Caenorhabditis elegans: one gene and its partner. The protein of the gene in region 2 interacts with the protein of the main gene of each other region in a pairwise test. Each region holds a gene or a part of one and is shown on either strand. Other genes may lie near its edges. The genes, in order: mrt-2 and cct-1.

Region 1 (3,919 bases), on a different chromosome or scaffold from region 2:
TTTTTTCCAAAATTGAAAACGGAAAATTTTCGTTTTTAGCTCAAAAAGTCGGAATTTTCGGATTTTTTTTTTGGTTTTTTTTAATTTTGAAAAATTAGAAAATCGGAAAAATATCAAGGTTTTTTCAATCAAAAACGGATTTTTTTTTTGAAAAGTAATGAAAAATTCGAAAAAAAAATTTTTTTCAGAAAATGTTTTAAAATATGAAAAACAGACCAAAAAACACCGATTTTTCTGAACGGAAAACATTTTTTTTCGTTTTTCGACAAAAAAGTATCGAAAAATAAAAATAAAACGTTTTTTTTTTCAAAATTGAAAAACGGAAAATGTTCGTTTTTGGCTCTAAAATTCGGAATTTTCTGGTTTTTTTCGTCTTTTTTTGTTGAAAAATTAGAAAATCGGAAAAACCGAAAAATTTTTTTTCAAAAAAGTCGAAAAAAAGTTTTTTTTCAGAAAATGTTTTAAAATGTGGGAAAAAACCCAAAAACAATAATTTTCTGAAGGGAAACCGATTTTTTTTTTCGTTTTTCGACTAAAAAATTTAAAAAAAAATGGTTTTTTTTTCAAAAAAGCTAATTTTTTCAGAAATTTTTTTTTGGAGTCGAAAAAAACCAAAAAATGTTAATCTGTCAGAACAAAAAGAAATTTTTTTGTTTTTGCGACATTCGAGTAGTTTTTTATTTCATTTTGAAAAAATCCAAAAAAAAATTTTTTTCCAAAAAGTCAAAAAAAAAATTCAGAAAATGTTTTAAAATATGAAAAAAACCGAAAAACACCGATTTTTCTGAAGGGAAACCGATTTTTTTTGTTTTTTCACTAAAAAAGTAAAAAAAAAAGTTTTTTATTTAATTTCAAAAAAAAAACATTTTTTTCGAAAATCCAAAAAAAAAAATTTTTTTTGGAAAATGTCTGGAGTTTAATAAATTTTTTTCGAATGTTTAAAGGTTTCAATGATAAAACCTTGATAATCTCCTTGAGAACTTGAGTTTTAAGCAGATAGGTCGCCAGCACACCAGCGTCATCGAATTCAAAGTCGAGCTCCTAAAAATAGACAAAAAAAAATCTAGGAATTTCGAAAACCCGGCGAACTTGATCTGCCAGCGTTGTTGTAAAATTGCCACGTGCCACCCATCCGTCTGCGTCTTCAACAAGCATTTTCACAGGCTGAAACATTCCCGGATACGAGACTTTTACAGAACTCGACGAGTTTTCCGAAATGCTCAGGAATTCCTGGAATTTTTTTGTTTTTTGCCACTTTTTTGGGCTTTTATGGGCTTTTAAAGGCTCACAGAAATCGATTTAATCGAGATTTTCATCGAAACTATCTCCTCGCGAACTTTAAAACTCGAGAAGAACGCCGGATTGATAAAAACGCTGGCCAGCTGATAGGATCCATCGTCGACTGTGATCTTCATGCCCGCCTCGGAAGCGTGCCACGTTCCTGTCTGGAAAATTGAAAAATTTAGATTTTTTCTCAAAAAAAATGAAATTAATATCGATATTTTCCAACACTAACATCCTTAAAAGCGACGGTTTTGAAGACCTGCGCGAGCTCCTTCACATTTTCTTTTTTCAATTCCATAATTGTGCATTGACCCGTTTCTAATTCCATCATTTTTCCTGAAAAAATTTAAATTTTAACCGGAAAACTGAGAAAAATCGCTGAAAATTAAATATAAATTAAAAAATTAATTCTCGCACCGTTTTCCGAGAGGAGTACACCTGCGGAGTTTTGTAGGCCATCGCACCTCGTCCCTCTCATTTGCGCGGAAATTCAAATTTGAAACCTCCGATTTTCGATCTTTTCACCCTTATTTTACACTGTGGCCAGTGTAAAGTACTTTTTCTTTTTGCGAAAAAGATTTTTCTTTCGAAAGCGAGAGAAGCTCACTGATTGCGTGACACACTCATCCGTCGTATCATTTTTGCTCGAAACTAGTTTACAACTTTTATGTGTGCGTGTGTGTGTGTGCTCTTTTTGGCTCCGGATGAGCTGAGCGGACCACGGAGCTATTATGAAATCCCGCGGTCCCCCATATAAACATGAAAAAAGAGCAATTTTTGGGAGTTTTTGGTGGGAGACGGGGAGGGCAATTTGTTCATACATCAATGCGTTTTTGTGTATTTGCTTTTTTTTTCTTTAGGAAGTTTCGAGATTTTTACGATTTTCCAGGCATTTAGTAGATCCCTAGTGTCCACATTTTCCACGTGGAGTACACGACGCGTGGTCAAATCTGGTGCATTGAATTTTTCGCGCTCCATTGACAATCTCCTGCCGGAAAGGACATTTTCCACGTGGAGTACACGGAACGTGGCCTAGAAAACTTTTCTTGGATCTTCACGGGGTTCTGGCCTTCCTCATTGATTTATTCGCGCTTCATTGATAATCGCCCGCCAGACAACTAAAATCGAGCCGCGACGCGACACGCAACGCGCCGTAAATCTACCGCAGATATGGCCTGAGAGACGCAGGGGTTTTTTTGAAGAAGGATATTTGATGGGACAATGGGAAGAAAAAAGGGATTTACAACTTGAAAATTCAAATTTTGCGCGTCAAATCTGGTGCATTGAATTTTTCGCGCTCCATTGACAATCGCCTGCCGGACAACGCGTGGTAAAGTCGTGTACTCCACACGGACAAATTCATTTAGTTTTACAACTAAAATCGAGCCGCGACACGGAACGCGCCGTAAATCTACTCCAGATATGGCTGAGCCAAAATGGCCTAGTTCGGCAAACTCTTCCATTTCATTTTATGAGGGAAGCCAGAAATCCGTAGTTTTTCTCTAGAATTTTTCTAATTCTATTTTTGTCATGCTAGTTCTTTTCCTCAAATTTGGTAAAATTTGTACTTTTTTACTTGTACTTGAGAATTTGTACTTCAGAAAAATAAGGCAAAAACCGCTTGTCCACGGGGAGTACACGACACGTGGCCTAGAAAACTCAGCGCGGTATTTCAAATTAAATTTCATGCCTTTTTCTGTGTTTTCTGTTATTTTATTACGCTAACAAAAAATCCTGAGAATGCGTATTGGGCAACATATTTGACGCACAAAATATCTCGTAGCGAAAACAAAACTACAGTAACCCTTTAAATTACTACTGTAGTGCGTGTGTCGATTTACGGGCTCGATCAATGATAAATGAATTCATTTCGAAAATCGAGATCCCGTAAATCGACACTACAAATGTCATTTAAAGAATCACTGTAGTTTGCTTTTCGCAACGAGATATTTTGCGCGTCAAATATGTTGTGCAGTACGCATTCTCAGAATTTTTTGTTCCCGTAATATTCTTGCTCCGCATTCAAATTTGAGCCGAGAGAGAAGAAAATCTTGTTTTTTTTTTCGAAATTTCCACGACTCCGCCTCCTGTGTGTGTGTGCATTTTTTGGTTCGTTAGCGCTTGAGGCTATGGGCTCTGTCGAGCTCATTTTTCTGTTTTTTTTTCGTGCTCCCCTTCCTATTTTGGCTCGCGGAGCTCAGCTATAAAGCGAGAAAATTGGTCTATAAAATTTTGATGAAATTGAATTTTTTAATTGCTCTGTAACTGAAAAAATTATTAAATAAAAATTTAATTCCCGCTATAATTTTTTGGTATGCGCCTTTAAATTGTGAACTACAGTAGGTTCAGACATTTTTTCTGGAATTTCACGTGGTGCCAGGCTGTCCCATTACGGTTTGATCTACAAAAACGCGGGCATTTTTTGCCCAACAAAATGTGACGTCAGCACGTTCTTAACCATGCGAAATCAGTTGAAAACTCTGCGTCTCAACTCCCGCATTTTCGTAGATCTACGTAGATCAAGCCGAAATGAGACACTCTGACATCACGTGAAACTTTCAGACAAAATATTCGAAAAATTTAATCAAAAGTAATCAAAACTTTAATTTATTTAAAAAAAAACTGTGAAAACTCA
Region 2 (3,919 bases):
GGTAAACGGGAAAATTTAAGCGTGGCAATCATCTCCTCCAAGTGGCTCTTGCTTGTCAAGTTTGATGAGGTCATCAATACGCAATATCGTAATGGCTGCCTCAGTGGCGAACTTCAGAGACTTGACCTTACTAAGAGCTGGCTCCAAAATTCCAGCCTCCTTGTTATCGCGGATCGTGCCTTCTTCGAGATCCAAACCAGCCCTAAAAAAAGAGTGAATAAACTGACTCAAATTCAGAAAACATGAATTAGACGCTTTTTCTAAGCACAAAACGAAATTTTTTGAAATAAATTATTTTAATTTTATTACATTAAGCTAACATGTAATAACCTACTCTTTAAAAAAAACATTTTCACTTACCACTTGAGGTGTTGAAGTTGTGGGATCAATTGAGCTTTGGAGTGGTACGCGCGGAGTTTTGTCACTAAATCAGTAGAATCTCTTGCAGCATTGCTTGCCAAAACCTTCGGAATGATGAGAAGCGCTGAAGCGAATTCAGCAACAGCAAGCTGCTCGCGAGAAGACAAGGTTTGTGCATAAGTTTCAAGGAAAAGACTGAGAGAAGTCTCAACAGCACCTCCTCCAGCCACAAGTTTCTTGCTTTCCAGAACTCTACGAACAACACAGAGTGAGTCGTGAACCGATCTCTCCATTTCATCGAGCATCACATCGTTCGCTCCACGGAGGATAATGCTGCTGGCAGTACGAGATTTCGGTCCCTTGATGAGAATGAGCTCGTCGTCACTAATTCTTTCTTGAACAATTTCATCGGCATGTCCAAGAAGCGAGGCATCGAAAGCTTCATCTCCTTCCAAAGTAGCCAAGGAAACAGTCAATGTGGCTCCAGTAGCTTTGGCAATTCTCTTCAAGTCTGATTTCTTGCATCGACGAACAGCCATAGCTCCAGATTCGACAAATTGCTTCAAGCACAAATCATCGATACCTCCAGTTGTAAGAACAACGTTGGCTCCGGCTTTCAAAATTTTATCAATGCGGCGTTTGGTAATATCGAATTCTCTGAAAATTCCATAGCTTAAAAAGAAACGAATAGTTTCAACTCACTCTCTGCGAATAGCCTCAAGCTTGGCTGGATCTTCAACAACGACTGAAATACCGAGGTGCATCTTAGCCTTCATCAAAGAGAAATCGAGACATGCGATCTTGGCATTTTGAACACGAAGTGGCATGGCCTGACTGGCAACTGTGCAATTGAGTGCATATCCTTTCACCAAAACTGATTCGCGAGCGCTCTTTCCGTGGGCCTTCAGAACATTGACTGCATTGATAGGATAAGTGACTTTCCCGTTATTTTCCACACGAACAGCTTCCGCGGCATCAACAACCAGCTCTCCGAAGAAATCGGCGTCTCTGAAAAATCAATTTTCTTGAAGCATAGACAACACCAAACTCACGGTCCGATAATCTTACTGCTCATGGAAGTTTTGGCAGCGTTGACAACTGATTGTCTACCAATCGAGTCGGAAGTGAATGAGATGTTTTCACTAATGTACTTGACGGCTTCCTTGCACGCGAGACGGTAACCATTGATAATAGTCGTCGGATGAACTTTTTGTTTCACAAGCTCATCGGCTCTCTTCAAGAGCTCAGCCGCCACAATAACGACAGAAGTAGTTCCATCTCCGACCTCCTCGTCTTGCAGCTGTGCAAGTTCTACAAGCACTTTTCCAGCCGGATGCTCAACCTCGAGTTGTTTCAGAATTGTGGCTCCGTCATTTGTGACAATGACATCTCCAACATCATCGACAAGCATTTTATCAAGTCCGACAGGGCCAAGAGATGACTTCACAATATTGGCGATCGCAACTGCCGCGGTGACTGCAATTAATTAATGTATACTTATATTGAGCTTTCGGTGTTACCATTCTGAGATCTGATGCCTTGTCCAGTAGTTCTTTTACCGGTGAGGGCAAGAATGGAATCTCCAGCTGATGCCATTACCTGAAACACAACCGTATTAACTTAGCAATAGAGTAGGACATTCGATATTGAGTCAAAAAGGGGCTTTGAATAAGCACTCAAAAATAAAAATATACGTAAAAATGAAAATATTTCAGTAAAAATAAAAATGCTTCCAGAAAATCGGGGATCCCTTGAATTCTGAATCAAAATTAAAATTCTTGTAGAATATTCTCAGAGCGCATCGTACTTCATGCATGCTAGAAGGGTAATCGTGCCGAGACCCAACACCAGCTGTCACTAGGGCGTATTTGCAACATTGTTCCCACCCGCGATTTATTGCCGATAAATTAAAAATAAAATTGTTTCCGCTAGTCCTTTGCAAACAAATTTGTTTTTTTTGTTTCCTCTTGTAATTTTTATAAATATTTTATTGGTCTATAATTTAAAATATTGAATTCAGATTTCTAACATTTATGGAGCCGCCATGCACATCAGACTGCAGCCAGATAAAAGTAAGAATTTTGATCAGAATTGTTTTTTATTAAGCCAGTGATTAAACAGAAATAATTTTCTTCCAGGTCTTCTACTATCTCGACGATGAAACGACTCCCTATGTTTCTGTTATTGAAGCCAGAGAAGGAGTAGCGACGCTTGGAAATTTCAAAAATTCATTCACCAAGCGTGGATATAAGTATTATGCGAAGGAACTTGACCCGGATATTCAACGGTGAGTTTTGGCTTTTTTAATTTTTGTAATTATTCTGTACTGAAAAATGTTCAGAGAAGTTAAAGTCGAATTAACAACTGATTCGGATCGGCTGCGCAAATCCCAGAATGGATTTTATGAGATTTTTCTCGTTAGCACTCCAGGATATGGAACTCTTCCTCGAAACAGTGGAACAATGACGCGACCACAGAGAACTGCTCTAGATAAGGTTCGATTTCTGTTATTTTCAAAAAAAACTGATATTTTAAGCGCCGCCGACGAAGTGCAGACTTTGACGCGACTCCGTACTCTGATGCTAGTCTTGCTCCGAGCACCATTGTTAGCAGTGAGTTTTTGCTATTTATGTACTCTTAAAAACCTGTATGAACGTTTTTCAGGAAGAGCAGGAGAGCATCTGGCAGAATTATACACTTCAAATTCAGAGGATCCGTATCAATATGACGAGCATACACGTCGAACAGGAGATGATTCTTCGCTCTACGAACCTCTCGCTGCTCGTGATATGAATAAGATATACGATGACGATAGAAGAAGGAAAAAACAAAAGAAAGAAAGATTCAGAAGACCGTATGTTCCAAGTACTATTAGCTCAGCGACGGAATCAAGTGTTAACAGCGGCCTCCCTCGAATTCTGGAAATTTATCTACCAATGAAAAATGTTCCATATCTGGGACTGAGCGTGTGCACAATTGATGGTCATATATTCGTTTCCGAAATTGCACCAGAAGGTGCCGTTGAAAAAGATGGACGTGTGAACGTTGGTGATCAGATTCTTCAAGTTAATAGAGTATCCTTTGAAGAACTCAGTGGGCCTCAAGCAGTTCGTTCGCTCAGAGAAGCTGCATCCTCCAAAAGGTATTTTTCTACGCATTAGCATTAATTTTTTTTAATTTTTAGACCAATTACTCTTTATATCAGTAAGTTTGCAAGAGGTGCCCCAAGTGAATATGATGATCCACTCGCGTCCATGGCGTCTGAAACGATGCCCCTCGACGTTGGAGTTTGGGTAGAAACCGCTGTGTAAGGGTACCTCGCAAGATTTATTTTCTTAATTTGATACTTACAGGCAGAACACTGAAAAAATGAAAGCTCTGGGTTTGGATCCACAGGAGCAAACGGCAACTACAATTGATGACGGAACTCTTCCATTTACATCGACAGCTTCTGATGATGAGGAGCGAATGCTTTACGATCAACGTAGAAATGGAATTCCAAGAGCTTTGATTGAAGAAGCAGAAAGAAAACGAGAAAATGAGCAAAATGAAAAAATAG

What was found.
Region 1: the proteins of cct-1 (region 2) and mrt-2 interact in a two-hybrid assay, tested with the Caenorhabditis elegans proteins (2 studies listed by BioGRID).

Annotation. Positions count from the first base shown.
Region 1 is NC_003281.10:11,744,745-11,748,663, reverse strand, and holds the start of mrt-2 (Cell cycle checkpoint protein RAD1 homolog mrt-2), read right to left. Parts: upstream 1,899-3,919; 5' UTR 1,702-1,898; intron 1,621-1,701; 5' UTR 1,616-1,620; coding exon 1,517-1,615; intron 1,446-1,516; coding exon 1,290-1,445; intron 1,231-1,289; coding exon 1,090-1,230; intron 1,042-1,089; coding exon 961-1,041; intron 1-960. UniProt on the Caenorhabditis elegans protein: May be a component of the 9-1-1 cell-cycle checkpoint response complex that plays a major role in DNA repair. Promotes DNA double strand break-induced cell cycle arrest and apoptosis, thereby playing a role in genome stability.
Region 2 is NC_003280.10:8,183,483-8,187,401, reverse strand, and holds the start of cct-1 (T-complex protein 1 subunit alpha), read right to left. Parts: upstream 1,960-3,919; 5' UTR 1,957-1,959; coding exon 1,881-1,956; intron 1,837-1,880; coding exon 1,413-1,836; intron 1,369-1,412; coding exon 1,063-1,368; intron 1,018-1,062; coding exon 361-1,017; intron 203-360; coding exon 16-202; 3' UTR 1-15. Other genes in the region: Segment polarity protein dishevelled homolog mig-5, read left to right, coding at 2,394-2,432, 2,499-2,647, 2,702-2,855, 2,897-2,972, 3,025-3,502, 3,545-3,667, 3,714-3,919. UniProt on the Caenorhabditis elegans protein: Molecular chaperone; assists the folding of proteins upon ATP hydrolysis. Known to play a role, in vitro, in the folding of actin and tubulin.